3 linked regions of the Pelodiscus sinensis genome follow. Each later gene encodes a partner of the first gene's protein in a complex. Links are inferred from orthologs where the notes say so. Each region holds a gene or a part of one and is shown on either strand. Other genes may lie near its edges.

Region 1 (9,696 bases):
GTTCCACCTTGTTTCTTATGCTCCCCACATCTCTCCTTGTTTAAATTACAGCTACGTGTTGAGCAAAGGTCTTAACTAAGATGTCCTCCAATGATGCCCAGATATATTTCCTGAGTCAATTCTCATGTAACTTATAATGTTCTAATTAAATTTTTCCCTCTGCTGTGTAAATTATTTCACATTTAGCAGATGAAATGTATTGCTGATATTATCTTATCCATTCACTAGATCAGACATACTGTCTTTTAGCAAATATACCCCGCGGTTTTTGCTTTTTGAGTTAAAAAAAATCTTGTATATCCCGCGCACGAGTATAACTCACAGGGTATACAAGGCTGTGCCGGGGTATATTTATGGTGCGGGGGGAGAGGGGAAGAGGGAAATTAGCCAGCCACTCACCACCCAGTTCCAGCCTCCAGGTAGGGGAGCCCTCACTGTCCAGTTCCTGTGCAGCTGGATGAGCGCTTCCCCGCCCCTTCCCACGGCTGCGGAGGAATCAGGCGGTAAGCACTCCCCCGCCTGGAGGCTGCGCAGGAACCAGGCAGGGGAGTGCTCACCGTCCGGAGGCTGCGCAGCAACCGGGCAGGGGAGTGCTCCTCCTGCCCCTCCCTACGGCTGTGGAGGAACTGGGAGGTGAGCTGGTGTGTAAAAAAAATGTTGTATACCCCGCACCCGAGTATACCCCGCGGGAGGGTGGGGGTGTGTGTGCAGGGTTTGTAAAAACAAATATAACCCGTGGGTTATATTAGCTAAAATACGGTAGCTTGGTGTTAATAAAGGATTTCAAAGCTGCACAGGGCCAAAATTAAGCACTTAGATGTAAAATGCACAGATTTTACTTTTGGGCAAGTGCATGGGGTCATTCACATACATATAAGGCAGGGGCGGGGAACCTCAGGTCCGGGGCCAGATGCGGCCCCTGGCTTGCTTGGATCCAGCCCCTGAGGTTCAGAGCCCTCCCCCAGCACTGGGGAGCTCACGCTGGTGCTCCAGTTCCCTACTGTCCGACCATGGAGCTGGAGCACACAAAATCTACTAGGCTGAACCCCCGTAGGCTCTAGTGTGCGAGGTGAATGTGGAGAGTGTCTTTCTCCTTCTCAGTCGAGGAGGGCCACATCAATGAGGATTTGTTTGGGGTTTTTTGCATCTCACTTGTGTGCAACCCAAAAAAGGTTCCCCACTCCTATGAGGGCAGACGTTCTCCATTTTGTGGGCGGAAGGGGGGGGGTTAGCTAAATCTCAAACCATTAGAATATTCTTAGTAGGAATATACAATCCCATTTAATTAGTTAATCTATTAGACATTAAGTTTAACCGTTTAACCAATTAACCAGGGGCAGGTGCTGTGGCCAGCCAGAGCAGCCCCTGCCTGCAGCAGCGTGGCCCAAGGAGGCCCACTACAGACATGTACTGCTCTGACCAGAGGGATGGAGGCAGGCAGGCAGCTGCTTCAGCCCATACTGATTAACTGGAACCAGTAAGCTGAGGCTTATGGGTTTACCATTCACATCTCTAATTCTTACGCACAGTTGACCAATGTTCTCTGTAAGATGTGTGCTTGGGTGGCCACCCAGGAGAGATTCAGGCATCACCCAGCTGATTAGCAAAGCACCAAAAGCTACCCACAGCTGGCAGCATGTGTTTCTACTGGTGCTGTACACCTGGCCATGCCTCAGGGAACACAAAATTTTATTCCACATGTGGGTGGGGGGTGGGGGAAAGAGGGAGAACATTTGTTGTCAGCCCAACTTTTTAAGCTGCATAGAACTTTTGTATTGTACATAATAACAGAAAAAGTATTATATAGCCACAATGTGAAAATTAGTTCCTATTCATGCATTTCACAAGAACATGACATGATGACCAGTCTCTGTACTAGACAAACCCAGGACAAAAGTAGCAGTGATCAGAATTGAGGTGAAATTGGCAAAATTCACTAAGCAGACTAGCAGGCACCTGCCCATCCCCTGCCTGGCTCAGATCAGTGCTATTAAATCTTTTTCATCAGCACAAAAAAAAAATTAACCCTCAGAAGTTTAACAAAGTGAATGAGAAAGAAAACTATTTTTCAACTCTCACATTTAAGGGAAAAGGTTAGATAATGGAATATTTTAAATGCATAAAGGTTTTAATATCAAAGCTTTTGACCTTGAAAGGTTTTATTCTTCAAAGAAATCCTCTTATCAAATTATCACAGAGAAACATGGTAAAAGTCAATCTAAAATATCAAGGTCAGGCAAAAGTCAGGCAGATGCAGGAAAGTGCTCCATCTCAATTGTTTCAGTTCAATATTTCCCCAAAGAAGGCCTTTTATAAAATGGAAGACTGTCCATTCTTAGTAAATCAATGAAGAAACTGCCTAAACACATCCAATTCACAGTATTATTCTACTATGAAAGACACTATTTTGACCACTGACCAAAATGCATTACAAGATAATTAAAATAAAGATTTGTGCCAACTATCAATCTTCTTATGCTCGCTTCACAAGAAACTTCACATTTATCTATTATCCTACACCTGAGACTTACTCAGTACATTATAAAATAATGCTGGAAAAGACTGAGGATTCTATACACTGGCTTCTGAGTGGAAAGAAAGCTACCAAAGATCTTCTACAAACTGTTAAAAGCATATAAAAGGGAGGAATAAGTATTAGCACCTAATAAACCTGGGTAACACTTCAGAGAGCTCCTTCATGCTAATCTGCCACTATGATCAAAAGCCAAAGGATGCAAGGGCTACATAGGGTTCTAGTCTCACGGCTAATTGCTCTGTGCATGTAATACTGAGCTCTAAAAAGTTTAAAATAGAGCAATTTTCCAAAAATATTATACTTTAACTTACTGTAAGTAAATAAAACGCTTAGCATTATGTATGCTCAGATCTTGCAGTATTCCTCATCACCATCTTATTTTACTATTCTATAAATCTCATGAAGATGAAAAATTTTCATTTTTGTTTCAAGCTCCAAGAAGAAATATGCATTATATAATTACCCTAAAAGATATAGCAAATGTTATAGCTATAATTACCCAATAACACTGATGTTAGTAAAATAAAAAATGGCTGTGCCCAAAGACCCCCCATTAGCAAGCAGACATAGCTCTGCTTGTGATTACAATGTATTTTTAAAATTCCAGCATTACCTCACAAAGATGTTAAACATTTCATGGAAAAAACCCACCATACCAAATTATTCTTCCTCACCCCGAAAAAATGAACACATTCCATTTATCACCATGAACAGACCAAGAGAAAATAAACCTTCACTGCAAATTGGGCTTTCTACAAAGAAACAGGTGAATGAGAAAGTCTCGAAGATGATAGGTCCTCACTTAAAAACATTATCATACTTCACTGTGACACACAGGCACTCTACTTTTTAATGGGTCACAGATATATCAAAGTACCGATGGACCCCACCCCCTTTCGAATGCCAGAATGGCTAGTATATTACACCCGGTGGCTACTTACCAGACGCAGTGCTGAGCAGCAGGGTGGCACTGGAGAGCATGAGCACCAGCATAAGGTGCTGCAGAGAGGCACTCATACCTGAGGAAGCGAAAGGAGGAGGCAGAAGAAAAAGAAAAAAAATACAGAAAAGGGAGGAAATTCCTCCTTTCGAAACAATCTTTAAAACGCTCTTGGATCACAATCCAGTCTGGAAGGGCAAACGGCAGATGACAGGAGCTGTCTGAGCTCTTACTCCTTTACACGTATCTGTCCTCATGCCTCAGGACTGGCTCCTCTTCTTTCTAGCGATCATAAGAAAAGGGGGGTTTGGTTTCCAAGCCAGGCTGCATTTCCCTTCCCCTGGGTAAGCAGTCACTCTTGCGGTCACACCGGAAACCCAGATTATTTCCCACGCAACTTGACGATATCAAAGAAGCATCCAGGTTTCGCATGAAACATATCCAGGGAGGGGGATAAGGAGAAAAATCGGCAGCAACTGTCACCTCTCCTGCCCCGGGTCCGCAGAGCCAGTGCTGAGGGCTGCGGTCAGAGGGACACCCCCATGCCGCGGACCGACGCCGTCGTCCTTCGGCCCTTTCCGCGTCGCTTAACTAGGCGAGGTCCCTCCCCGCCACTGCCATGTACAGGCGGCGCCGTGGCCCGGCCCGTCTCTGCAGGCACCCTGCTCGAGGGCGCAGCCCCGGCCCCTCGGGACTGGAGGGCGCCCAGCCGGGTGCTTCCAGCTCAGCAACGGCTCAGGCTGCAGCTCGCGACAGAGGCCCCCTCGCTCCGCCGGCGGGCAGCTCTCCAGCGCCTCGAGCAGCCACCGCGCGGAGGGAGGCGTCTCCGGACTTCAGCCGGCGGCTATGGGGTGCCGCGGAGCCCCGCGCCTTGCCACAGGCTGGCTCCCTCACGCGGCGGCGCCTGCTCCCGTCCTCGCCCCCCCGCACAGCGGCGCGGCTAGCAGGAGCGCGCGGAGGGGAGGAGAAGATCCACGCGCGTCGCCTCCCAGACCAGACACAAAGGGGAGTCGCCGCTAACTGCCAGTCTGAGCTCGCGGCCCCCTCCCCCTCCAGCAGCCCGCCTGGCCCCGCCCCGTTTGTCTCCTGCCTGCCCGCTCAACTGCCGCGCTGGTCTCCTCGCGCGAGCCAGGCCCCTCTTCTCCCCACCCTCTCGCAGAGGCCCCTGATCATAGAGGTGGGCCTCCAGGTAGCTAGAGAGGGGCTGCGGCGCCACCCTGTCAGTCTGCCTATGGTGGGGGGAGGGAGAAGGGTGTTGACAAGGGAGTTTGGCGCGCCCCGCCCGCACCGCCATATTTGTGGAGAATTGTGCGTTTGCCAGATTGCGGCCTTGAGAAAATGTGCGTGGGCGGGTGCGCTGGTCAAGGAGCTGGCCGGGTGCCTCCGCGCACAGTAGCTGCAGCAGCGCTGTTTGCAAGCCGTGAGCTCGCACTCGCCAGTGTGGCTGCCCCACCAGGCTCCTCCAGCGGCGGGGGCGGGGACACACACCCGACCGAGGCAGTCATCCTTAGGAGCTTGCTCCTGCCCATCCATGGCTGCCGGTGCAGGGCGTTCTCCGTGCGGGCTCCCCGCCTACACACGGGCAGGGCCGGGAGCTGCTGGCCCTGGCCCTGTAGCAAAGCTCCTCTTTCCTCCCTGCGGATTGGAGAGAGAGCAGCGAGGCCCCTTTCGCTCTGCTATTCCTTCATCCTCCCAACCCACCCGCATTTGCCCCCGCTCCTGCATCCACCAGCTGCCTTGTTTGTAAACTCTTCGGGGCAGAGACTGTCTCTGTTACTGTACGAACAAGTGCAGTACCCAGAGAATCCCCACTCTGCACTGGAGTGCCAAGGTGCTTCTGTCACACAAACAGCAACAGTATTTATAGTAATAGTAATAAATAATGATTGTTTGAAAAACTAAGGAGATTGTTTTTACAACTTCAGCCTACCCTTCACCTCATAAGAAACATCTAAGAGACACATGGACAAAAACAAATAACACAGTCATCCAGCAAACTCAGGAAAGACCAGATCTCATATTTCTAAATTTAAAAAAATCACAAAATTAGTTTATTTTACATTATTTGTAAATGTTACAGTATTTTTAAATTAGATATCAGACGTGACAGGAAACTCATCTGAGGCACGGTATCCAATTTTCAGTGAAATGCTGGTATTTTTAAAAACCATTTCCCCCCTCCCCCTTAGATTTTACTAACTCATAAGATTGAGTAATCCAAAGGGGAAGCCAGTGGCACAGATGGATTTGACACACTTCAAAACATTGTTAACACTCAGGGTAGGGTTTGCATGTACACATTAAAGCCTACTGACCTCTGATTCTGATTGGAAATTATGAACACCACTGTTGCCATTAGCATCATCAAAATAATATAGCGCTAGATAGTTAAAAAGTGAGCATATCCTCAGACTTCTGAATTAGATGTATATCTTCATGTAATACATTGTATAGAACTTGTGCTGTCTCAAATAAAATTTGTTTTTCTTTGTCCTCTTATTATTATTTTTGATTTAGTGACCTCCATCGGAGACTTTGAAAGCATTTTAAAACATTAATAAAATTAGCCTCAAAACTGCCAGAAATCTTGTACAATATTTTCTCATTTTTCAGCTGAAGAAACCAAGGCTATGTCTATGCCAAGATTTTTGTGATGTTCTCCCACTGTTGCTCCAGCTCTAATGTAGTTTACACCAGTTCCTCCGTTGCTGCTAGCAACTGTGGAATTATACAGGTGGTAGGAAAAACAGCCAAATATTTTCACACACAAAAATCAATGTAGGCCAGAGGGATTATATTACTTGCCCAAGATCACACACTGGGCTGGATATTCTATCATATACAACTGAAAGGATGATTGAGACTCACGGCTATGTCTACACCACAGGGTTTTTCTGGGATACCAGAAGTATCCCAGAAAAACTCTGCCGCATCCAGGGAACACGTCTGCTCTTCTGCTTTTTTTTGCAGAAGAGCAGATGCGCTCTTTCAGAAGCCCTGTCTTCCTCCTCCCACAAGGAAGAAGGACTCTTCCAAAGGAAGAGGCTTTTCTGAAATTTTGCCCAGTGTAGAGGGGCCAAATTTCGGAAAAGCCCCTTCTGAAAAAACACAATTTGCGTACCTTTTTCCGATAGATCATTGTAGTGTAGGCATAGCCTCAGAAGTATGTGATAAAACTGGGATTAGAATCTGATTAGGGCCTTATTCTCTGTCACCCTAAGATCTCTTTATATTGATCTAAAGGAGCTTTACATGGGATGGAAAAGGCCTCTTAAAAATACATTCTGTAAACCAGGGGTTTCCCCCTAGGGCTGTGGTTCTCAACTGGTGGTTCATGGACCACTGGTGGTCCATGGTGACTTTTTCAGTGGTCCACAGGAACATTGTCCACAGTCACACGGCATGAGCAGACGCCACTGTTAGGCTGTTTTACGCCATGTTCACAAGCACGCAGCACGTCATCCATAGCGTCACCTAGGACGCAACCACATTGTATTGCCAGTAACTTCCGTCTGAGGCTCTGAGTGTCAGTGTAGCTGCCACCGTCATGCTGAGCGGTTGCTGTGTCGTTCGTCCTATGCTACATGTGCTGTTTTACAGGTGTGGTGTAGTTTGTTTATAATGGCAACGACAGGAAGAAATGTCAAGTGCAAGTACTTGGAGGACTACATCAAATTCGACTTCACTTGTCAAGAAAAAGGCGGCACGGATTTGCCACAATGTGTTATTTGTTTCAAAGTCTTGGGGAATGACTCAATGAAGCCGGCTAAGCTGAAACTCCATCTCGAAAAGTGTCACCCCACCTTGTTGCAAAAGAATGAAGATTATTTTGAGCGGCAGTTATCAGGTCTGAAATGGCAGTGCCTCAGCTCAACAAGTGCATTCTACAATAAGACAAGCAATGCAGTGCGCGCTTTCTACATTGTTGCATACAAAGTTGCACAGACCAAGAAGCCTCATGCCATCGTAGAGCAACTTGTGCTCTCCTGTGCAAAAGAGATGGTGCAGCTTCCCCTTGGTGAGGAAGCAGCAAGGAAGCTGAATGATATATCTGTCTCTGAGGACACAGTATCGAGATGGATAAATGAGATATCACAGAACATCAGTGAACAAGTTGTAGATGAAATTAAGTCTCCATTGTTTGCCATACAATTGGATGAATCAACTGATGTCACATTGTGCTCTCAGCTATTGGTGTTCGCACGATACATGGTTGAGGGAGACTTCAAAGACGAGTTCCTTTTTTGTAAGGCACTTGATACCACCACAAAGGCTCAGGATGTGATGGAAATTGTTAATAATTTCTTTGAAGTACATAGTCTGGATTGGGTAAATCTTGTGTGTGTCACCACTGATGGTGTACCTGCCACGCTAGGCTCAAGATCGGGCTTCCAAATGCTGGTGAAACAGCGTGCTCCAATGGTAACCAGAGTTCATTGCTTCATTCATAGGGAAGCTTTGGCATCAAAAACATTGCCTGATAACTGAATGCCATTTTCAAAGGGTTGGTGAAAGTGGTGAATCACATCAAATCATCGTCTCTGAACACCAGGCTGTTCAAAAGATTTTGCCTGGACACTGGTTCCGACTTTGATGTGTTGATGCTCTACACTTCTGTACGGTGGTTGTCATCAGGGAACGTACTCAACAGAGTTTTTCAACTGAGAGAGGAGTTGGATTTATTTCTCCAGGCTCACAGAAAAGAGGAATTCCAAAATGTGCTGATGCAGTCAAATTTAGAACTTGCGTATCTTGTCGATATTTTTGGAATCTTGAACAAACTGAATCTTCAGCTGCAAGCGAAAGGTGCAGATCTGTTCTCTCACCAAAGCGTCATCAAGGCTTTTCTTGACAAATTGGAACTCTGGATCGTAAAAGTGGAAGGCAATAATTTAGTTCAATTTCTATATGTGGATGCCATGCTCGGGGAAAAGGAAACCATTCAAACGCAAATTGTCGATCATTTACAGAAGCTACGAGACGAATTCCAATGATACTTTCCAGAGGTGGACAGAACAAGGGATGGATTATCTTTCATCAGGAATCCATTTACAACAGATGTTGTTAGTGTTCCAGAGGATCTACAGGAGGAATTCTTGGATCTGAGAAATGATTTTGCAGCTCAAGACGTGTACCAGCAATCTACCATGGAGAAATTTTGGGCCAGCATGTCCAGGAGTTACCCAAATCTGTCAGCACACGCAGTCAGATTTCTTTTGCCATTTGCATCAACTTATATGTGTGAGACTGGATTTTTGTCTTTGTTGCACGTTAAGTCCAAACAAAGGCTTGCAGTGGAAAGCGATATTCGTTGTGCATTATCAAGTACCACTCTAAACATTGAAAAGCTTGTCAGTGAGAAGAGAATCCCAAAATCTCTTAGTAAGAAATAAATTTCAAACCAAAATGTTCATTGTCTGCTCTTTTTTATCATGTCTCAAAAGAGAGGTGGTCCATCAAAATTTTTTGATTGGCCTGGTGGTCCGTGGACTGAAACGAGTTGAGAACCACTTCTCTAGTGGCTCTCAACCTATCAAACTTTAAAATTTCCGTAACTTATGCTGGGCCCCAGAATACAAGGAATAAAAAAATGGCTTAAAGCTACTTTTGTCCTCCCATTTCTCTCCTAAACTCAAGAATGGATGAACCAAGTATCAGGCTGCCAGGTCTGTAGATTCCCAGCCCAGTACCTTGAAATGGTATCAGCAAAAGTATTATGTACACATGGTGCTCCTTTATTCAACAAATCTGTTGCTTATATGAACTGAATGTCAAATTTGTTGATTTTGATGACAATAATAAGCTTTTAACTTTTTTTTTGCACTACTCATCCTTGAAAGGGCCAGCACAGATAAGAATGAATCATCATCATCATCACCATCAACAACCATGGGTTCAGCGCCTGTTGGTGTCTGATGCCTCCCTCACTATTTCTTTCCATCTTTCCCTGTCCAGTGTGGAGTGTCTTAGTTTCTATAGACTTGCTCCACACCAATCTACTATATCATCTACTCTCTGTAGGGTCTGCCTCTCCTATTTGGACCAACCATTATGCCGAATACCAGGGTCTTAACTTTTCGCTCATTGTTCATTCTGCAGATATGCCCAAATAGCTGTAACGTCCGTTGTATAACCTTCTGCAGTAGGTTCTCTTTCGGCCGTATCTTCCTATATAATTCCTTGTTGGTGATCTTCTGCATCCATCCTATTCTCAGGATCT
Region 2 (10,385 bases), on another chromosome or scaffold:
TTAGCTCTACTTTACTACGCATCGCTATAATTCTGTGCTTTTTGGCTTGTCACATAACACATCTCTGGCAAGCACTCTGGAAGGGAATTTACAGTATCATTAATAATAAAAAATTTCGTTTGCACTATACATTACATGGCATTTTTACAGCCACTCAGGATAGATTCAAATGCCACCCAGCCAATTAGCAGAGCCCCCACAGATAGGTTTTTGTGCCTGCTGGTGATGCACATCCACACATGCCTCAGTGCACATAAAATGTATTACACACAGAGATGGACAAAATCCATACATGGACGGAAAAGATTAGAAGGAACATTGTAAGCAACCCCATGGCTCTGATGCAAGTCCCCTTGAGGCCAATGGGTTTCTTTCTGTGGATTTCAGTGGGAGTGGGGTAAGGCCCTATGTTCACAGCTGATTTGCTTTAATCCCGAAATAACTACCTGTTAAATAAACATGGCCGAAGAGCGGTGCTTTTTTGAGCGCTCTTGAGTGCTAATTGAAATGATCTTTCTGTTTTTATGCTACTCCCTCACCTGAATCTGCCTAAGGGGCCTTACTGTGTTTTGGGCAGGTTATCAGGTTAGCTACCAATAATAAAAAAGGTACCACCAGCCACTGGGCCAGGCTGCTACCAGTCCATCCCAGGTTTGTCTGCATCTAAGACTGGCATGCCCAGTAAAGAGTTCTTTCCTGCAAAACTGCCTACCTGCCACATCACTTATTGTTCCAACAAGCACACTGTTTATGCAATAAAGTTAATAAAATTCTTCACACAACACATCGTCAACCCATGGAACTCCTTGCCAGAGGTTGTGAAGTCCAAGGCTATAACAGGGTTAAAAAAAAAGCTAGATAAATTAATGAAGGACAGATCCATCAATGGCCATTAGCCGGAATGGACAGGAATGGTGTCTCTAGCCTCTGTTTGCCAGAAGCAGAGAATGGGTGACAGTGGGTGGATCACTTTTTCTGTTTATTCTAGGGATGGGGAACTTAAGGCCTGGGGGCTGAATGAGGCCCCCGGTTTGTCTGGATCTGGCTGCTGCAACTCAGGGCTCCCCCCCCCCAGCATTGGGGAGACCTCGCTGTGGCTCCAGTCCTCTGCTGTCTCCCTGCAGGGCTGGAGCACACAAAGTCTACTGGGCTGCTCCCCCTAGGCTCTGGTATGTGCGGGGAACGTAGGGAGCGTCTTTCTCCTCAGCCGGGGGCCACATCACTGAGGTTTGGTTGGGTTTGGTTTTTTGTTTTTCTTTTAAACTGGACAGGTTACTGGGCTTGATGGACCTTTGGTCTGGCCCTATATGGCTGTTCTTCTGTTCTAATAACAATAGGAAGGATCAGGAATATTGCCTCTCCAGCTAGCATAGGTTTCTGCGTTTTGTTCAAAGGAAAAAAACCATGTCATTCTTGTAAATGAATTTTAGAGGAAAAATTAACTAACATTTCTAGGTCTACAATTCAGCCTTTTAATTCGGCAAGAAGGCTGCATGGTTTAAATTCTTCATCCTCCAAAGCAAAGGAAACAGGAAACTGCTTTTACACCAGATGTCATCTAGTGGTACTGTACATCTGGCAACCCACCAACAGCTGTACAGAGGCTAAGCCATGTGAGCTAAGACATTCAGCAGTAGGCTGTGTTGCTTACATGAGGTGTTCAACAAGTTCTCAAACAAGAAAGGAAACACGAAGAAATTTACAATGGTTGAGCTGTAATTCTGCTTGTAACAAGGTACTGGCACATTTGTAGCTTTCAGAGACATGTGTCAGATTCCCACATGTGCTCCAGCCTTTACTTAGGCAACGGTGTCTGCTGGCTGCAGAATGTGCCAGTCATTGTAAAGCTTTGTGATTTTATAGCCAAACTAGCAGACTTACCCAGTGTCGCCCAGGCCCTTGAAGGTAGGGCTTTGGTGATGTGGAGGGGAGGGTGTGCAGGATGCAGTAGACAGAGGGGGGCAATAGTGAGGGTTGTTCCTTCCCCCCAGTCTGCCCTAGCCTACCAGGGGCTGTTCTCTCCCTGCCAAGGCTCTCCCATCTGCCTCCAGGGGGCCTGTTCTCCAACTTCACATGCAAGAATGATAGAAACGTGTCCCTGGTCTCTGTCTGTCAGAGGCTGGAGAGGGATGGCAGGAGACAAATCGCTTGATCATTGTCTTCGGTCCACCCTCTCTGGGGCACCTGGTGCTGGCCACTGTCGGCAGACAGGCTACTGGGCTAGATGGACCTTTGGTCTGACCCAGTACAGCCATTCTCATGTTCTTATGATAAATGCACAAAAATAGTATATAAACATTCAGCAGACTGTCTATTAAAACTGATAGATTATATGAGGCATATATATATGTCTAAAGCATCTTCATAATATGCATATTCATATTCATAAGCCAATATTCATTAAGTTTGGGAGGGGCACGACAGCACTAATTTGTAACTTTCTTAATCTCCGTTTCATTATGGATGTAAGGTCACCTCCCCAGTGCTGCATGGCCAAGAGATGAATCATTCAAAAAAGGAAGGTTGCGAGTCCACTTTTTTGAATAAATAGCAATCAGTGGGATTCAGATCCAAAATCTCACAAAGTTTTTGGCTGTTCAGCGTCACAAAACCACAAGCTCATAGACTCATAGATAGCCATGCAATTCAGATCCTGCTCTGAATGCTCCTTCAAGGTTCAGGATCAGCTGCTTCTGAGTGGACCTATGTGTAACAATAAAAATGAGGAAAAACTTAAAAAACAACAAATAGTCTGGTAGCACTTTAAAGACTAACAAAATATGTAGATGGTATCATGAGCTTTTGTGGTCATGTCCCATTCCTTCAGATGACCAGAGCATTGGATGTCAATTAGGGTATGTCTAGACTACATGGCTCCGTTGACGGAGCCATGTAGATTTGTTTTTTTGGCAAAGGCAAATGAAGCCGCGATTTAAATAATCGTGGCTTCATTTAAATTTACATGGCTGCCACGCTGAGACGACAAACAGCTGATCAGCTGTTTGTCCGCTCAGCGCGCTAGTCTGGACGCTCCCCTGCCGACATCAAAGCCCTTTGTCGGCAGCCCCGGTAAACCTCATCCCACGAGGAATAACGGGGCTGCCGACAAAGGGCTTTGATGTCGGCAGGGCAGCGTCCAGACTAGCGCACTGAGCGGACAAACAGCTGATTAGCTGTTTGTCGGCTCAGCGCGGCAGCCATGTAAATTTAAATGAAGCCGCGATCATTTAAATCAAGGCTTCATTTGCCTTTGCCTACAACCCTAATCTACATGGCTCCATCGATGGAGCCATGTAGTCTAGACACAGCCTTAGGTTGGTCATTTAGGCCTGGTCTACATTAAAGGAGAAAGTCAACTTCAGATATGCAACTCCAGCTATGTTAATTATGTAGCAGGAATCAAAATATCTTAAATTGCATTTTGGCACCATTCACACGCAGGAGGTCAACAGCAGCACATGCTCCCTTCGACTTCCCTTACTCCTCGTAGGAGCAGGACTACCGGCACCGATGGGAGTGCCCTCTCAGTTCGAATTAGCAGATCTTCACTACACTCGCTAATTCAAACCCCGGAAGATCGACTGAGGCAGCCACAGTCTTCTCTGTAGTGTAGACAAGCCCTTACTGTGTTAAACTGCCGTGGTAAAAAGGCAAGCTGTTTGAGAGGAGAGTTTCTGAATGAAGCAAAATAGCAAAGGGACACACAAATATATGGCTCGGTGCTCTTAATGAACAGTGCTCTCTGTGAATATAATCTGAATAAATACAATTATCCTTGTTCAAAATTGCATCGTGAAGTGAGCTAGAGTTGTTTCCCTTGTGCCAAGATGGCAGTTGACCTATTTGAGAAGAAACAGCATCTGGACAGTCACAATAAATAGATGTACCAAATGGACAGGATGTGCTCAGTCCTAACTGAGGAGTGGAATTGTCCAAGGCATGTCTACACAGAAGCATTATTTCTGAATAACTGATGTTATTTCGAAATAAGAAAATGAGTGTCTATACAGCAAGCCGTTATTTCGAAATAATGTCAAGCTGGAGGGCTTCTTACTACAACTCCTGTAACTCTCATTTCACGAGGAGTAAGGGAAGCGGAAGGAAGAGTGCTCTTCCTTCGACTTCCTGCTTTATAGACAGTGCGTAAAGCCGAATTAAGCTATTTTGGTTTCAGCTACACAATTGACATAGCTGAAGTTACGTATCTTAATTTGACTTTTGCCCTGCTGTGTAGACGTGCCCCAACAGAGCTTTGCTATTTCAGTCAAACCATGCGCTCTTTAGTTCTTGCAGATATACCTCACAATGAAGTCAGACACCTTCTGCTACTAACAAAGAGATTCTCCTTTGCATCAAAGGGTGGAAGGCTGGGTGTTTGGCTCAAAAGGCATGCGTTCTAATTTTCCTGTCACAGGGAAGTTCCCTGTGAACACTGGGCCAGAACAGAGACAGATATGGTCACAATTTTCAACTTACATGGTTGCTTTGGTTTTACTCATTTGTCTGCAGTCCTCAAACTTTTTGGAAATTTCAAAAATCTGACCATCCCCACACCCCAGCCCAGAATTTGTTTTTTCCGGAAACACACTGAACATTTTCCATGAAAACTGTGCTGTGGTTTTCAACCCGATCTGCTCATAACATCCTGCCCCTGAGCCACGGCGCGTTGATGTGGCCAGAAGTAATGCTGGTGTCTCTGCAGCAGACTAGAGGTCCCTTGAAGTTTAGTTTCATGCCAGTTACAGCAAAGCTCTCTGGCGGGGGATGGTATGACGGCAGCATATGGAACAGAGCTTGAGTGAATGTAACCTGCCATGCCAGACACATAAGAGGCGTGGGAGAAAGGCGGCATTTTAGGAGCCAGTTGCAATTGTTTCAGTGCTCCCTGCTGAGTTTGTTTCTACACATTTCTGTGGAGCCCGTCCCCAGAACAGCAGGTGTTCAATGGGAACCTGTGGTTTCTAGAGAGAATAACTAGCTAAAATATCTGATATTAGGAAATCTGATATTAGAAATGGCAATATACAAAATTATCACAAATCTGATATTAGGAATGGCAACATACAAAAACCTGTAGGGGAACACTTCAATCTTTCTGGACACACAATTGCAGATCTAAAAGTAGCCATCCTGCAGCAAAAAAACTTCAGGACCAGACTTCAAAGAGAAAAACTGCTGAGCTACAGTTCATCTTTAAGTTTGACACAATCAACTCTGGATTAAACAAAGACTGTGAATGGCTTGCTAACTACAAAAGCAGCTTCTGCTCTCTTGGAATTCACACCTCCAGATCAGCTGCTAGAAGTGGGCCTCATCCTCCTTGATTGGATCCACCTGGTCATCTCCAGCCTGATCCTGGCCTGCATATTTATTCCTGCCTCTGGAAATTTCCACTACATGCATCTGATGAAGTGGGTCTTTGCCCACGAAAGCTTATGCTCCTACACTTCAGTTAGTCTATAAGGTGCCACAGGACTCCTCGTCGCTTTTGCAGATTCAGACTAACACGGCTACCCCTCTGATACTTAGCTAAAATAAACACCACTAAAAACATTTGCTAATTGCCTTCTATTTGTACAGGACAAGCTGGTGGTGGCAGCCCAGGGGCAAAATGGAGAACCAGGAACAGCTCTGTTGGCCATGCCCAACCTCATCCCTGCCTGCGTTTCTCCTGTTCCCAAAGCCCCTTTCCACAAGGAAGCCCTGCATGACACACCAGCCCAGATGCAAGGAGCGCAAACTCTCTGCTTCCTACTGCTTGATAGAATCACACCAGTTTCACTGCATTTAGCACCTCCCGTGGTGTTTAGATTGTTTGTTATTTATATTATCAGGGTGCCTAGGAGCCACAGGCATGACTCCCATTGTGCAGGTGCGTACAAACAGAACAAAAGGATGGGCCCTGCCTCAAAGCGCTTTTCAGCCAAGTAAAGACTTTCCTTGGGCTGGAGAGTTTACTAACTCTTAATATTGAAGGAGGCTTTTGTTTACTGTTGGTACAGAATACAAAATCCTAGACGTAGGCTCTGTGTCATTTGCATGTTTGCCTGAAAGCATAACAAAGTTGCATGGATAAAACTTGGCCATACATGCCAAAGAAAGTCAGCTCCAAGGGAGAAAGAAAGGGCAGATCCTGTCCAAGGAGAAAATTGTCGTATCTCAATATGTCCAAGTGCAGAATGTTTACAAAATGCTCATTAAGGGAAAGGGGGTTTGTGAGATAGCAACAGAAAATCTGGTGGACAGCTTACACTGCAAGAGATAAGAGAGGCAAGGCTACCATAGGCGAGCGTGTGTTATATCCAATTACTGAGACCTGGTTTTGGAGGGTGTGTGGGGAGGCGGGAGAGAGAGTGAGGACTGATCACAAGTTTCAGGCAAGGGCTTCCAAACTTGTCAAGTCTGTGACACAAGCTGCGCACAAACCAGGGGATAAAATAGCCACTTAGCGCACACAAGAGCTAAACCTTGGTGAGTGCGGCTGGACGCTAACGCGAAGGAATGGATACTGTTGCCATTCAGTTGTGGGCAACCCTCTCTCTGCTGGTGCACCTTGCTGCTTGCAGCCCCATCATGAGCCTGGAGCAGTCGTCCCTGGAAGAAGATGTGCCCCTCTTTGATGAACTCCTTTCAGAGCAGGAAGGTGTCGATTTCAACACGCTGCTTCAGAACATGAAAAATGAGTTCCTGAAGACGCTGAACCTTTCTGACATTCCCCTGCATGAAAAGTCTAAGGTGGAGCCCCCAGAGTACATGTTAGAGCTGTACAACAGGTTTGCCACTGACAGGACCTCAATGCCATCGGCAAATATTGTTAGAAGCTTCAAAAATGAAGGTAAGATCCATGCTCCTCTGTGAACGAAGAATAACTGGGCATTGCTCAGAACCGACAAGGCACTTCTTCCCAATGTGTGGAGCAAGACGACTTAATTGGGGAGAAAAGGAGTTGACAGTGATTAGATAGAGATGCAACTGGAGCTAGGGAACTAGCATGGCCTGTGTCTATAATGAACAGCTCACATTGCTTGTCTGATGTAATCTCGCCCTCCTTATTTTATATCCTTGAGCCAGTGAGCGTTCTGGGGCAGGAGCAATGTCTTCCTTTGTGTTTGTGTATTGTGGGTGTATTTATTTATAAATAAATTGTCATAGTTCCAGGAAGCATATGCATCATTTATATGTTACCTTCATACGCATCCGATTTTTAAATGGAGATGGCAACTTATCTTCCTTATTTGATTAATGAGAAAAGGCCTCTTTCACCACCCATGCAATAGTACAAATTCTCATTTGGAAAGCCAAATTTCTTCATGGATTCCCAACCAAACAACAAATGGCTTTCTGGAAATATTTTCCCAATTTAGTTCCTCAATTATTGTGTAAAATAAGGTCAGTAGAATATATAGAAATGTGTGCGGCTAGCATCTCTCTATAACAACTTTTGCCTCACCATTTATTTTTGAGAGAATAAAATTTGTAGTGATTAGACAGGGATGCATGCCTTTTTTCAAAAAAGGTAACTAAAATTTTATAGAATTATGAGTTTAGACTGTTACGAATATTGCGCAATTCAACATTTTCCTGAAATTTCTACACAATTCGGGGAATAAAAAGCTCTCATGCTATTACTGATTCTTCATGCATGAGTACCAATATGGAATATGGGTTGAAAAGGCTTTTCAGAAAATCATTATGTCCCAAAGTAGCAGTCTCAATTTTACTGATGAAGTTCACAACTACAAGATAACAGAGCAAAGACTGAGCCTATGTAACCTAAATTTGACAACTCAGTTTTAGATTCTATAACTGCTTGTGGGCTAATCTATACCTTGCTCAGACGCATGCATTCTTATCAAGCTACATGTTTCTGGTTTTAAAAGGCTCCGCTTTACAGTTCAAATCCACTTTAACTTTGCATTTCTTCTACATATAGACAGCATTTAATTCATTGAGGGCTGCACTGAAAGTGACTTATGCATACTGAAGACCTCAGGGCAATTTGTGTGTAGAGAAGGGATTCACAATCTGGCCCTGAAGGAATATGGAATAATGATTCTGACACTTACAATTTTAAGATGAAAAGTAATAGGAAAACTAATGGACTGTAATTGGGAAAGCAGAGTATACTGAGTGGAGAATGCTATGTGTTTTACTAGTGTACATATGCAGTAATTCCATTAGTTACAATAGAATCATTCCAGATTTATATTGCTACTTAGAGGATTTGCCCACTGTTGCTCAAGTCCTTAACTGAAATAATTTTAAAAACAACAAGCAGTCCTATGGCACCTTAGAGACTAACAAATATAGAATATTATGAGCTTTTGTGGGTAAAACCCACGTCATCAGATGAACTAATTTTTCTTCATTTGATTCATTGCTCTCGGGAGGGGGGGGGGGTCAGTGTGCAGGCTGCCCTGGGGAGAGAGGATAACCCCAGCCCTCTGTCACCACAGCAGCTTGGGGCCAGGGAGAAGTGCCTGTTCATGGAAACTGCTGGGGGAGGGGTGCATATCTCCCAGCTGGGCAACACACAGACAGACAGACACACACACAAACTCTCTCAAATATATAATAGATACTATCCTTTTCTCCACCCCGTGCACTGCTGCCCCAATAGGATTATAACTGTCCCATTCCCCATCTCTGGCCCCTTGCTGTCCCCCTGTGGTCATTATACACTATAACTGTCCCTCTTAGCAGACCCCTCCCTTTCTGTTTTGTGGGAAACACTCACATTCCAGGCACATCCCATTGTCTTGGCACAACCAAACCCTGACCTTGCTTTAAGTTTTGATAAGAGGAAGCTGCCTACCAAATTTGGTGTTCCTAGCTCTTACTGTTTAGGAGGAGTTCTTGAACAAACAGACTCACAGATGGACAGAGAAACACAGACACACAAACTCTCTCAAATATATAGTAGATTGATGACATCAGAATCCATCCTTCATTTTTAGTAAATGGAACAATGCAAAGATCCATTAATTTTCATAAACACAACAGTTTCCAAGCAGCGTGTTCATCACCACAAAGTCTGCAATGGCAATGTCAAATGCAGAGTAACTTACTACCTTCTCAGAAGGTTCCTGTCCTTTCTTCTAGTCCACAACTTCAGAAATAAATTCAGATACTTGTATTCTAATGCAAATGCTCTCCATAGGCACATGTATACCACAGAGGGTCTATTTCAATTGTCTCTGCTTTGTATGTCTAAAAAGTCATTAACAATTAGGGAACCTGGATTATATGGCACATGAGTAAACTAAAGTGCTTGCATTTATTACTGATAAAAGAGATGGAACAGATCACACCGTGCAATGTTTATACTCATCAGCTTGTGGTAGTAGATGATGATAATGGAAATTGCATGGTTGAAAGCAGTAGAACTTGATGACAGTTGTTCATTAGCGGTTTTAGCTCATGGAGTTGTCTGGCTCTGTTGCAGCTTGGATTGTAATGTGGTCGTTGCTTAAAAACTGAAATAAAGCTTTCTGGGCTAATTTGTCCTCCTTCAGACACCAGTGTGTCCTCATTGACACCAATGAGGATGTACAGGAAATAGTGAAGAGTATTTGACCCTTTGAGTTTTCTTGCTCAGTCTGTCTTGTGGGCAGTTGCCAGTTCTGATTTATTTTTCTCCCTAATCAGGAAGCGAGACACCCAGTTTCCCACAAGAGTGTGTCTCTATCCCTTCCAATGATTGATTCATGTCCATTTTCTGTGACTTTTCCCCACCCCAAGACCATATGTATCATCATAACAGTGGACTTGTTCTCCAGCAGCCTGGGGGTGGAGGTGGGCGATAGGGCTGAGGGGCTGTAGATCACTGAGTTCTGGTGCCACTTCCAGTTGTGAAGTGGGACACATTCACTAGACAGACAGCCTATGGATTTACAAACATCAACAAATTCCAAAGACCGATTAAAGTCAATTATTCATGTGCTGATGTGCTTCGCTAGCTCAGGGCCAATATTTGTAGCTTCGTCAACCAAATGTTTCCATAAATGTATCAATCCCAGAGTCATAGAAATCTGAGATGGGAAAATGTACAGGATCCATGCAGTCCATCCCCTCAGCTCCTGTCAGCATGTCCGCTAAGTCTCTATTTCCCAACCTGGTTTCAGAGTCATTATTGAATGAAATGTAGCAATAAATACAAAGCATTTTGTTAAATTGCCCATATGTATGAAGAAATGCAGATGGGGCATGTATAAACATGATGGATAAATAGATAGATGATCATTTGTTTGTTATACATCTGATTCATTAATACTCTCAAAAGCTAAGTATGTACAGTAGTTTTCTTTTGCTCTTTTCAAGACAGATCCAAACACCACTGATGTCAATGGGAATATTTCCATGGCTTTATTGGGTCTTGGCCCAAG
Region 3 (10,473 bases), about 49 Mb from region 1:
TGAGTTTGTGACTTGACCAAGGTCACTGGAAAAATGTGGCAGCATTGTGACAGTTCTCCTGTGTCCCAGTGCTGTGCTCTAATTTAGGGGCTGGCTCCAAACAAGCATTCCACTTTGTGATAAATATTGTGGTTTTGACACTTGGTTTTGGTGTTGTATTGGAACTATAAGCTTTTCCAAATATTTTCCCAACAAAGCAAGAATCTAAAATAAGTAGTAGCCTAGTAGTTAGGGCATTTATGTGTGAAATCTAGGTCCAAATCTCTGCTCCAAATTTGGGACTGAAGGACTAACTCTGTAGCCTGATGGTTCCCTGGCTTAACTGGATGTACAATTAATTAATCAAAGTGGAATAATTCCCACAGAAGAGATTGAGAGAGACTCACTTAGATTCAGCAGTTAGACATTTGCCTGGAATGTGGGAGACCTAAGTGTTAGCAATCAGTCAGGGAGCAGGGGTTTGAATGAAGGTCTCACAATGCAGGTGAATGCCAAAACCACAGGGATGAGTCTCTCTGACCAGAAATTCCACTATAGGAGGTGAAAGACCTATTGGGTGAAGATTTTGTCCAAATGGATACATTTCCTTGAAAAATCAATGAGGAGTCTGGTGGCACTTTAAAGATTAACAGATTTATTAGGGTATTTGTTAGTCTTTAAAGTGTCACTGGACTTTTTGTTGTTTTTGCTGAAACAGACTAACACAGCTATCTCTCTAAAACCTTTCCCTGAAAAGTTTCAGTTTCGATTAATTGACATTAAAAAAAAAAAGTTGAACTGAAAAATTCCAGATCATCTCTTTCTTTAATCACAAGAGTACCCTTCTTCCTTATAAAGTCTCAGAGGGATAGCTGGGTTAGTTTAACTTTAAAAAGAATAGTCCTGTGGCACCTTAGAGTATGTCTTCACTGGGTATGGTATGTCTAGGGTATGTCTAAAGTCGAGTTAAGATATGCAACTTCAGCTACGTTAATTGCGTAGCTGAAGACGAAGGAGCTTAACTCAGTTTTTGATGCTGTCTATACAGCAAGAAGTCGAAGGAAGAACACTCTCCCTTCGACTTCCCTTTCTTCCCATGAAATGAGCGTTACACAAGTTGGAGTAAGAAGCCCTTTATTTTGAAATAACGGGCTTGCTGTATAGACAGCAATAACATGGGTTATTTCAAAATAAGCATGCAGTGAAGACATGGCCTTAGAGACTAACAGAGATAAAGAATGGGCAAAACCCACTTCTTCAGATGAGCTTGAGTGGGGAAAAGTTCATCTGAAGAAGTGGGTTTTGTCCACGAAAGCTCATGATACTACACACTCACATATGTTTGTTCGTCTCTAAGGTGCCAAAGGACTATTCCTTCCTTATAGTTTAAAACATTAATAGTGTGTAGTAGGTAAATATGTTGCCAGTTTTACAGACAAAAAAAAAAAAACAAAAAAACCTTGAAGCATTTCTAATGATTATGCTAAACTGTTGATATAGCCTCTCCATACCACCTATTCAAAAACATTAGCATTTGTATTTGTAATATGAAGTGCAAAGGAGAAGATCAAGTTATTGACTGTAATAGTTAAGAATATGTTAAGAGCAAAACATTCCCAAATCCCCCAGAAACAGACTATGGAATTAAAACAAATGACTTGCAGTTCTCAGAACCTGCTGGAGGGGTAAGCTGTCCATGCAGTTATTTGTAACAGCATTATGGGAACCCCAATATCCAGCCCTCTTTTTGCTGGCAAGGGATAGGGTGTTCAGATGTGATTTAATGTTTTTGTCAGCTGAGCAGACTCAGTGCTGGGCAGAGATTAGCCCAGATTGTGACAGGGAGGGCAACTACACTTGACCCAATTACCTCATGACACATACCTGGCATTTGTTGTATCTCTGGCAAAGTGACAACAAAGCTCCTTTGGTGGAGGAAAAAATTTGCTCTGTGCTGTGCTGCTTCGTCCCAGCCTTTAAATATTAGATGGCTTCTTCTCCGCCATGGGGAAGGCTTGAAAGAGGCTCCCTACTGTGCAGACCCCAGGTCTCTCAAATGGATCACTCACGTTGAGAGACCACGTCTGCAAAGTGGGGGTGGACTTGCCTCCTCTGTATTGCAGTTTCGACCTCTGCAAAAAATACCGGCGGGCCTTTTGGCTGAAGGGCGCTAATTGGCCGAGGGAAGGATGGTGGCCTGCGCGCAAGACGCTAATTAACTGAAAGGTAACACTTACTCCGGGCTGCTGTGTGTAATCCTCACCCTCTGCATCCTCGCTGCCTTGGGCCAGCTGGCCCGTTTCCAGCCGCGAGCGATAGGCGGCGCCCTTTCCCCAGCCTTCCTGCGCCGGAGGCTGCCGCCTACCCCATAGGCTGGAGGTGCCTGCAACGTGCCCGGCAGCAGCGCGTCTTGAACCTGCTCCGCCGAGTGAGCCCCGCGCGGCAGCCAGCGGGGGAAAGCACCTGCCCGGCCCGGCACAGGTGAGCGAGCCCTGGCGGATGCGCTAGGATCGCACCTTCCCAGGTGAGCTGTGGAGTTGTGCTGGGGTGTGTGCGCTGCAGCTGGCTGCTGTGTTGCCCAGGTGGGGAGTTGTGTGCTGGGGTGTGTGCGCTGCAGCTGGCTGCTGTGTTGCCCAGGTGTGGAGTTGTGTGCTAGGGTGTGTGTGCGGCAGCTGGCTGCTGTGTTGCCTAGGAGTGGAGTTGTGTGCTGGGGTGTGTGTGCGGCAGCTGGCTGCTGTGTTGCCCAGGTGTGGAGTTGTGTGCTGGGGTGTGTGTGCTGCAGCTGGCTGCTGTGTTGCCTAGGAGTGGAGTTGTGTGCTGGGGTGTGTGTGCGGCAGCTGGCTGCTGTGTTGCCCAGGTGGGGAGTTGTGTGCTGGGGTGTGTGTGCTGCAGCTGGCTGCTGTGTTGCCCACGTGGGGAGTTGTGTGCTGGGGTGTGTGTGCGGCAGCTGGCTGCTGTGTTGCCCAGGTGGGGAGTTGTGTGCTGGGGTGTGTGTGCGGCAGCTGGCTGCTGTGTTGCCCAGGTGGGGAGTTGTGTGCTGGGGTGTGTGCGCTGCAGCTGGCTGCTGTGTTGCCCAGGTGGGGAGTTGTGTGCTGGGGTGTGTGCGCTGCAGCTGGCTGCTGTGTTGCCCAGGTGTGGAGTTGTGTGCTGGGGTGTGTGCGCTGCAGCTGGCTGCTGTGTTGCCTAGGAGTGGAGTTGTGTGCTGGGGTGTGTGTGCGGCAGCTGGCTGCTGTGTTGCCCAGGTGTGGAGTTGTGTGCTGGGGTGTGTGTGCTGCAGCTGGCTGCTGTGTTGCCTAGGAGTGGAGTTGTGTGCTGGGGTGTGTGTGCGGCAGCTGGCTGCTGTGTTGCCCAGGTGGGGAGTTGTGTGCTGGGGTGTGTGTGCGGCAGCTGGCTGCTGTGTTGCCCAGGTGGGGAGTTGTGTGCTGGGGTGTGTGTGCGGCAGCTGGCTGCTGTGTTGCCCAGGTGGGGAGTTGTGTGCTGGGGTGTGTGTGCGGCAGCTGGCTGCTGTGTTGTCCAGGTGGGGAGTTGTGTGCTGGGGTGTGTGTGTGGCAGCTGGCTGCTGTGTTGCCCAGGTGTGGAGTTGTGTGCTGGGGTGTGTGCGGCAGCTGGCTGCTGTGTTGTCCAGGTGGGGAGTTGTGTGCTGGGGTGTGTGTGCGGCAGCTGGCTGCTGTGTTGCCCAGGTGTGGAGTTGTGCTGGGGTGTGTGTGCGGCAGCTGGCTGCTGTGTTGCCCAGGTGGGGAGTTGTGTGCTAGGGTGTGTGTGTGGCAGCTGGCTGCTGTGTTGCCCAGGTGGGGAGTTGTGCTGGGGTGTGTGTGCTGCAGCTGGCTGCTGTGTTGTCCAGGTGGGGAGTTGTGTGCTGGAGTGTGTGCGCTGCAGCTGGCTGCTGTGTTGCCCAGGTGTGGAGTTGTGTGCTGGGGTGTGTGTGCGGCAGCTGGCTGCTGTTACCCAGGTGGAGTTGTGTGCTGGTGTGTTACCCTGGTGTGGGGGCTGTACTGTGTGCTGCGGTGTGTGCGCTGCAGACTGCTGGCTGGTGTGTTACCCAGCTGTGGAGCTGTGCTGTGCTGGTGGATAGTGTGTTCCCCTGGTGTGGTGTTGAGCTGTGTGCTGCGTTAGCCAGGTGTAGAGTTGTGGTGTGTATGCTGCAGTTGCTCTGGTGCGTTACCCAGGTATGAAGTTGTGCAGTGCGGTGCGTGCCGCAGCTGACTGGTGGGTGCAGTTACCCAGGTGTGGAGCTGTGTTGTGCCAGGGCAGCGGAGCAGGGAGCCTAGCTCCGCTGTGCCCTCAGGGTGTATGTTGTGTTACTTTTCCTGGGTGGCGGTTCGGGGCTGTGTGGGGGAGCTTGCCGCGGGCCGGGTGGGGCGGGCTGGGGGTTCGCGGTCGGGGGCGGCGAGGCGTGCGCTTGGCGAGGGGCCGGCTCCCGGAGCGGTCGCCGGGGGTTACCGGGATCCCTTGAGGAGCCAGAGGAGAGACCCTCCCGCTGCTGCTCCCCCCCCGCCCCGAGCCTGCGGGTCGGGCGCCTCTCTGCGCCTGGCAGCCAGCCCGGTGCCAGCCTCGCTCTCCCCTCCTGCCGCCGGTGCGTGCCCAAAGCTGCTTCTGTTTCCCCTCCGGCCTCTCCCCCGGAGCAGCACCCGCGCCGTGTGGCGGACGCTTGCCCCGCGGGGCTCCAGGCGCCCTAGGCTGGGGACTGACCCCAGCCCCCCACTTCTCCGGAGGTCCCGGCGAGCCGGAGGCGGCTTTGACTCCAGCCCCTGTGCTATGGGGCGGGGTGTGTGGGGAGGAGGGGACCGGCCCCGTTAGCCCCAGCGCAGGGTTAATCTCCGCGCCGGGCGGTGCGCGCCGCGCTCCCCACGTGGTGCTCACGCCGGTATAAAAGTTTCCGTAGAAAGTGGCCCCATGTCGTGTGGTTTTGCAGGGCGGGGGGAAGGAGCAGGCGGAGACCAGCGGCCGATAAGCGAGGAGCCCGCCGCTTCCCCCCAGCGGCCGGGAGCCCGCCCAGCCCGCCCCGCTGCAGCCGGCGTGGAGCCCGAGGGCAGCCCGCGGCGAGGGAGCCGCGCTCGCCATGAGGACGCGGGCGCGCCAGCGAGCGGAGGCGCAGCGCTGAGCCGGCGGATCGGCGGGGCGCTAGAGCGGTGCCCCCGGGGCAGCCTGGCAGGACGCTAGAGCCCAGCCCGGCCCGTGTGCGGGTCTGATGCCGCCGCTCGGCGCTGGCTCCAGGGCGCGCTAGAGACTCGCCGGCGCCAGGGGAGCTGCCCGGAGCCCTGCACCCAGCGCCCGCGGGGTGGCTCGGCCGGGCGGGGTGCGGGGCAGCCCTTGGATTGCACCTCCGCCGGCCGGCCCCCATGACGCCGGACTGAGAGCTCGGCCCCAGCTCGGCGGGACCCGCAGGACTGAGAGCCTCCGCTACCGGACAGGCCCCCGCCCGGCTCGGCTCGGCTCGCCCCGGGGATGCCCGCTTGGGAGTGAGCCGGGCGCAGGAGTGGCTCCGTCTGCTCCACCCCTGCCCGCGGGGAAGCGGCTGGCCCCTGCCTACAGACTCCCGTCTCCCCGGCCCTAGCCCCCTGCCTGCTTCGTCCACACCTGGGGGCTGCTTCTCCCTCGAACCGGGCTCCCTCGCTATCTTCTTCCCCCAGCCTCGCACCCCTCCAGCGTTGGGCTCGCCTGGCACCCCTCTGCCCAGCCTCGTGGACCCCCCAGCTGGGCTCGCCTGGCACCCCTCTGCCCAGCCTCGTGGACCCCCCAGCTGGGCTCACCTGGCACCCCTCTGCCCAGCCTCGTGGACCCCCCCCAGCTGGGCTCGCCTGGCACCCCTCTGCCCAGCCTTGTGGACCCCCCCAGCTGGGCTCGCCTGGCACCCCTCTGCCCAGCCTTGTGGACCCCCCCAGCTGGGCTCGCCTGGCACCCCTCTGCCCAGCCTCGTGGACCCCCCCAGCTGGGCTCGCCTGGCACCCTTCTGCCCAGCCTCGTGGACCCCCCCAGCTGGGCTCGCCTGGCACCCCTCTGCCCAGCCTTGTGGACCCCCCCCCAGCTGGGCTCGCCTGGCACCCCTCTGCCCAGCCTCGTGGACCCCCCCAGCTGGGCTCGCCTGGCACCCCTCTGCCCAGCCTTGTGGACCCCCCCAGCTGGGCTCGCCTGGCACCCCTCTGCCCAGCCTTGTGGACCCCCCCAGCTGGGCTCGCCTGGCACCCCTCTGCCCAGCCTTGTGGACCCCCCCAGCTGGGCTCGCCTGGCACCCCTCTGCCCAGCCTTGTGGACCCCCCCAGCTGGGCTCGCCTGGCACCCCTCTGCCCAGCCTTGTGGACCCTCCCGCTGGGCTCGCCTGGCACCCCTCTGCCCAGCCTCGTGTCCCCCCCCCCCTGGGGCTCGCCTGGCACCCCTCTGCCCAGCCTCGTGTCCCCCCCCCCTGGGGCTCGCCTGGCACCCCTCTGCCCAGCCTCGTGTCCCCCCCCCCCCCGGGGCTCGCCTGGCACCCCTCTGCCCAGCCTGCTGTCCCTAGTTTAGACCGTAGCGCCCTGCTCCTCCCATTTTGGCTCCCGCCCTCCCCCCCAGCTTGGCGGCCCCCGCCCCCCTGCCCCGGGCGCTGCTGCCCCGGAGCGGCCTGAGCGGAGCGGCTGGCGGCCGGGACTGAGCCCCGCTGCAGCGCCCGGTGCCCGCCATGGACGGGGCGGCGTGGAGCGGGCTGCTGGCCGCGCTGGTGACCTGTTGGCTGGCGCTGGGCGCCGAGGGCTCCCCGACGCCTCCGCCCGCCGCGGGGAGCGCGCCCCAGGACAGCTGCACGTCCTGCGGGTTCCGGCGGCCCGAGGAGCCGGGCAAGGTGGACGGGGATTTCCTGGAGGCGGTGAAGCGGCACATCCTGAGCCGGCTGCAGATGCGGGAGCGGCCCAACATCACGCACGCGGTGCCCAAGGCGGCCATGGTCACAGCGCTGCGCAAGCTGCACGCCGGCAAGGTGCGGGAGGACGGCCGCGTGGAGATCCCCAGCCTGGACGGGCAGGCCAGCGCCGGGCCCCCGCCGCACGAGCAGGTGTCCGAGATCATCAGCTTCGCCGAGACAGGTGGGCGCCGCGTCCCCCGTCCCGCGCGGCCCCTGCCCCCTCCGCACGACCGCGTCCAGTGTGTCCCCTGCCACCCGCCCGGGGGACCGGCCTCCCCTCCCTGTCACCGCGTCCAGTGTGTCCCCTGCCACCCGCCCGGGGGACCGGCCTCCCCTCCCTGTCACCGCGTCCAGTGTGTCCCCTGCCACCCGCCCGGGGGACCGGCCTCCCCTCCCTGTCACCGCGTCCAGTCTGTCCCCTGCCACCCGCCGGGCGGGACCGGCCTCCCCTCCCTGTCACCGCGTCCAGTCTGTCCCCTGCCACCCGCCGGGCGGGACCGGCCTCCCCTCCCTGTCACCCCTTCCAGTCTGTCCCCTGCCACCCGCCCGGCGGGACCGGCCTCCCCTCCCTGTCACCCCTTCCAGTCTGTCCCCTGCCACCCGCCCGGCGGGACCGGCCTCCCCTCCCTGTCACCCCTTCCAGTCTGTCCCCTGCCACCTGCCCTGGCCTCCCCTGCGTGCCACCCCTGCCACATCTGTCCCCTGCCACTCGCCCCGGTGGGACTGGCCTCCCCTCCCTGTCACCCTTTCCATGTCTGTCCCATGCCACCTGCCCCACCTGCCCTGCCCCAGCCACCCCTTCCACGTCTGCCCCATGCCAACTGCCCCAGCCTCCCCTCCGTACCACCTCTGCCGCCCGCTCCGGCGGTACCAGCCTCCCCTCCATGTCACTCCTGCCATGTCTGTCCCATGCCACCTGCCCCGGCCTCTCCTCTGTACCACCCCTGCCACCCACCCCGGCGGTACTGGCCTCCCTTCCCTGTCACCCCTGCCACATCTGCCCCATGCCACCCACCCCGGCAGTACCGGCCTCCCCTCCCTGTCACCCTTTCCACCTCTGCTCCATGCCACCTGCCCCAGCCTCCCCTCTGTGCCACCCCTTCCACATCTGCCCCAGGCCACTCGCCCCAGCTGTACTGGCTTCCCCTTCGTACCACTCCTTCCACATCTGCCTCAATCCGTACCAGCCTTCCTTCCATGCCATCCCGTCCACGTCCAAACCAGCCTCCCTTCCGTGTCACCCCTTCCACCAGTGACCGCATGCCAACCACCCCTGCTTGTACCCCTGCCTCAGTCCGTATCCTCCTCCCCTCCATGGCACCTCTTCCATGTCTGCTCCATGCCACCCATCCCCACCTCGGTCCATACCAGCCTCCCCTCCGTGTCGCTCCTCCCATGTCTGCCCCATGCCACCCACCAACGCCTCGGTCTGCACCAGCCTCCCCTCAGGGCCATCGCCTTCCACTGTCTGCTCCATGCCAGCCACCCCTGCACAGCCCGTACGTGCCCTGGTCTGTACCAGACTCTGTTACTCCTTCCACCTGTCGTCCCCATGCCAGCCACCCGGCCATCTGTCCATGCCACCCCTCCCCCTCCCCCACCAGCCATTAGTCCCAGTCACCCTCCACATCACCCCTATTCCATTCGCCCCTCTGCCACCTCCTTCCATGAATCCTTCCCGACCCTGGCACATCCTCCATCCAACTGTCCCAGTCACCCTCCACTTCATCCACCCCGTGTCCGCCGCCCCCCTGCCTCACCCACCCACCCACCTGTCTGTCCATCCCAGCTGCCCCCCTGCCTCACCCGCCCCCCTGCCTCACCTCCCAGGTATCCCACCCACCTGTCTGTCCATCCCAGCCGCCCCCTGCCTCACCCACCCACCTGTCTGTCCATCCCAGCCGCCCCCTGCCTCACCCACCCACCTGTCTGTCCATCCCAGCTGCCCCCCTGCCTCAGCCATCCCTCCTGCCTCACCTCCCAGGTGTCCCACCCACCTGTCTGTCCATCCCAGCCGCCCCCCTGCCTCACCCCCCCCCCCCCGCCTCACCTCCCAGGTGTCCCACCCACCTGTCTGTCCATCCCAGCCGCCCCCCTGCCTCACCCACCCTCCTGCCTCACCGCCCAGGTGTCCCACCCACCCACCCACCTGTCTGTCCATCCATCTCCGCCAGTCACCCCTCTGCTTCACCCATCCCTTTCTATGCCACCCAGCCACCCATTGTATATGTCCATTCCAGACCCCCCTCTGCTTCATGCACTTCTCCAACCATCCGCCCACTGTGTGCCAGCCACCCCCTCACACCTGTCCATCCGTCCCAGCCAGCCCCCCCCTCTGCATCATCCATCTGCCCACCGACCCTGTGCAAGCCACCCCTTCTCTTTCGCTCTCCAGTCTGTCCACATCCCCCACCAAGCCGCCCCCCCCCCACAGCTCTGCTTCTCCCACCCACCCATCCATCCATCCGCCCCAGGTCAGCCACCCTTCTGCTTCACGTCCCATCTGCCCACCCCCCAGCCAATCGTCCGCCTCACTGAGCCGTCCGTCTACTCCGTGCCAGCCACCCCTCCACACCTGTCCATCTGTCCCATTGCAGCTGCCCCTTTCCTTCCACCTCTGGTCTGTCCACATCATGCCCCACCAATCCATCCTTCCGGCCCCCTGCCCCACGCACACGTCCAGTACCCTCCTCCATCCGCCCGCCCCAGGCCTACCATCCTTCCGCTTCCTCCACCCGTCGGTCCACCCTCCAGCCAATTGTCTGTCTCGCTGATCTGTCCATCCACACCATGCCATCCATCCCTCTGCTTCATCCAGCCACTTCTCTCTACACCTTCCAGCTAGCCACCTGCCCACCCTGGCCATACCTCTGCTTCTCCCACTCCTCTGTCTACCCCATGCCAACCACCCCTCTGCTTCACTCCTCTATCCCGCCAGCCTGCCCAGGCCTGTCTCATCCACTCATCCATCCATCCAACCCAGGTGAGACACATCCCTGCTTCCCCACTGATCCATCCACCTCTGTTTCACCCACCCTCCTGTCTGCCCCATGCCAGCTACACCTCTGCTTCAGCCAGCCAGCTGGCCATCCCACATCAGCCAGTCCTCTGCCTCCCCCACTCATCTGTCCATCCAGGCTAGCTGCCCACGCACCCATTCAAAGCACAGCAACCACCCCTCTGCCTCACCACCCATCCATCTCTGTCCCAGTCAGCCAACTCTCTCATCTGCCCACCTCCTCTCTTCTCCTCTCATCTCTGTCCATCTGTCTCAGCCACCCCATGTGAACCACTCCTTAGTGTACCCCTCTCTCCATCCCCCCCCTCTGTTTCAGCCTTCCATTGACCTGCCCCACAACAGCCACTGCATCCCTTCCACCCCTCTGCCCCGTCCATTCATCTATCCACCCAGCCATGGCCGGCTACCTTCAGCTTCTGCCATCTGTCCATCCATGCATCCTCTCCTCTACTTCTCCATCCATTTGTCCATCCCATCCCATGCCAGCCACCCCTCTGCTTCACCCATCTGTCCATCCTTCCATCTCTTCATGCCAGATGCTGCATCCATCTACTCCATGGCAGATAACTCTCTGCTTCACCCATCCATTCACCCCTCTGCTTCT

Evidence for each region.
Region 2: the proteins of BMPR2 (region 1) and BMP10 are in contact, whole or in part, in a crystal structure (PDB 7PPA), measured with the Homo sapiens proteins. The link is inferred for Pelodiscus sinensis from reciprocal best matches to the Homo sapiens genes BMPR2 and BMP10. Residues at the interface, in NP_001195.2 of Homo sapiens: Asp38, Ser64, Tyr67, Leu69, Lys81, Cys84, Trp85, Ser86, Ile88, Gly89, Asp90, Pro91, Gln92, Glu93, Thr103, Thr104, Pro105, Pro106, Ile108, Tyr113, Phe115; in NP_055297.1 of Homo sapiens: Tyr329, Lys333, Asp338, Ser339, Trp340, Ile342, Ala343, Pro344, Pro345, Gly346, Tyr347, Glu348, Glu395, Pro396, Ile397, Ser398, Ile399, Leu400, Leu402, Val407, Tyr409, Phe411, Ala417.
Region 3: the proteins of BMPR2 (region 1) and INHBB are in contact, whole or in part, in a crystal structure (PDB 7U5O), measured with the Homo sapiens proteins. The link is inferred for Pelodiscus sinensis from reciprocal best matches to the Homo sapiens genes BMPR2 and INHBB. Residues at the interface, in NP_001195.2 of Homo sapiens: Tyr40, Tyr67, Leu69, Val80, Lys81, Trp85, Ser86, His87, Ile88, Gly89, Asp90, Gln92, Ile108, Gln109, Tyr113, Phe115; in NP_002184.2 of Homo sapiens: Phe309, Asn318, Asp319, Ile322, Ala323, Pro324, Gly326, Tyr327, Tyr328, Thr379, Met380, Ser381, Met382, Leu383, Phe385, Asp386, Asn390, Ile391, Val392, Lys393, Asp395, Ile400.

The regions. Positions count from the first base shown.
Region 1 is NC_134717.1:56,223,888-56,233,583, forward strand, and holds the start of BMPR2 (bone morphogenetic protein receptor type-2), read right to left. Parts: upstream 4,676-9,696; 5' UTR 3,554-4,675; coding exon 3,478-3,553; intron 1-3,477. UniProt on the Homo sapiens protein: On ligand binding, forms a receptor complex consisting of two type II and two type I transmembrane serine/threonine kinases.
Region 2 is NC_134738.1:906,288-916,672, reverse strand, and holds the start of BMP10 (bone morphogenetic protein 10), read left to right. Parts: upstream 1-6,221; 5' UTR 6,222-6,501; coding exon 6,502-6,835; intron 6,836-10,385. UniProt on the Homo sapiens protein: Required for maintaining the proliferative activity of embryonic cardiomyocytes by preventing premature activation of the negative cell cycle regulator CDKN1C/p57KIP and maintaining the required expression levels of cardiogenic factors such as MEF2C and NKX2-5.
Region 3 is NC_134717.1:6,953,286-6,963,758, forward strand, and holds the start of INHBB (inhibin beta B chain), read left to right. Parts: upstream 1-6,484; 5' UTR 6,485-6,631; coding exon 6,632-7,031; intron 7,032-10,473. UniProt on the Homo sapiens protein: Inhibins and activins inhibit and activate, respectively, the secretion of follitropin by the pituitary gland.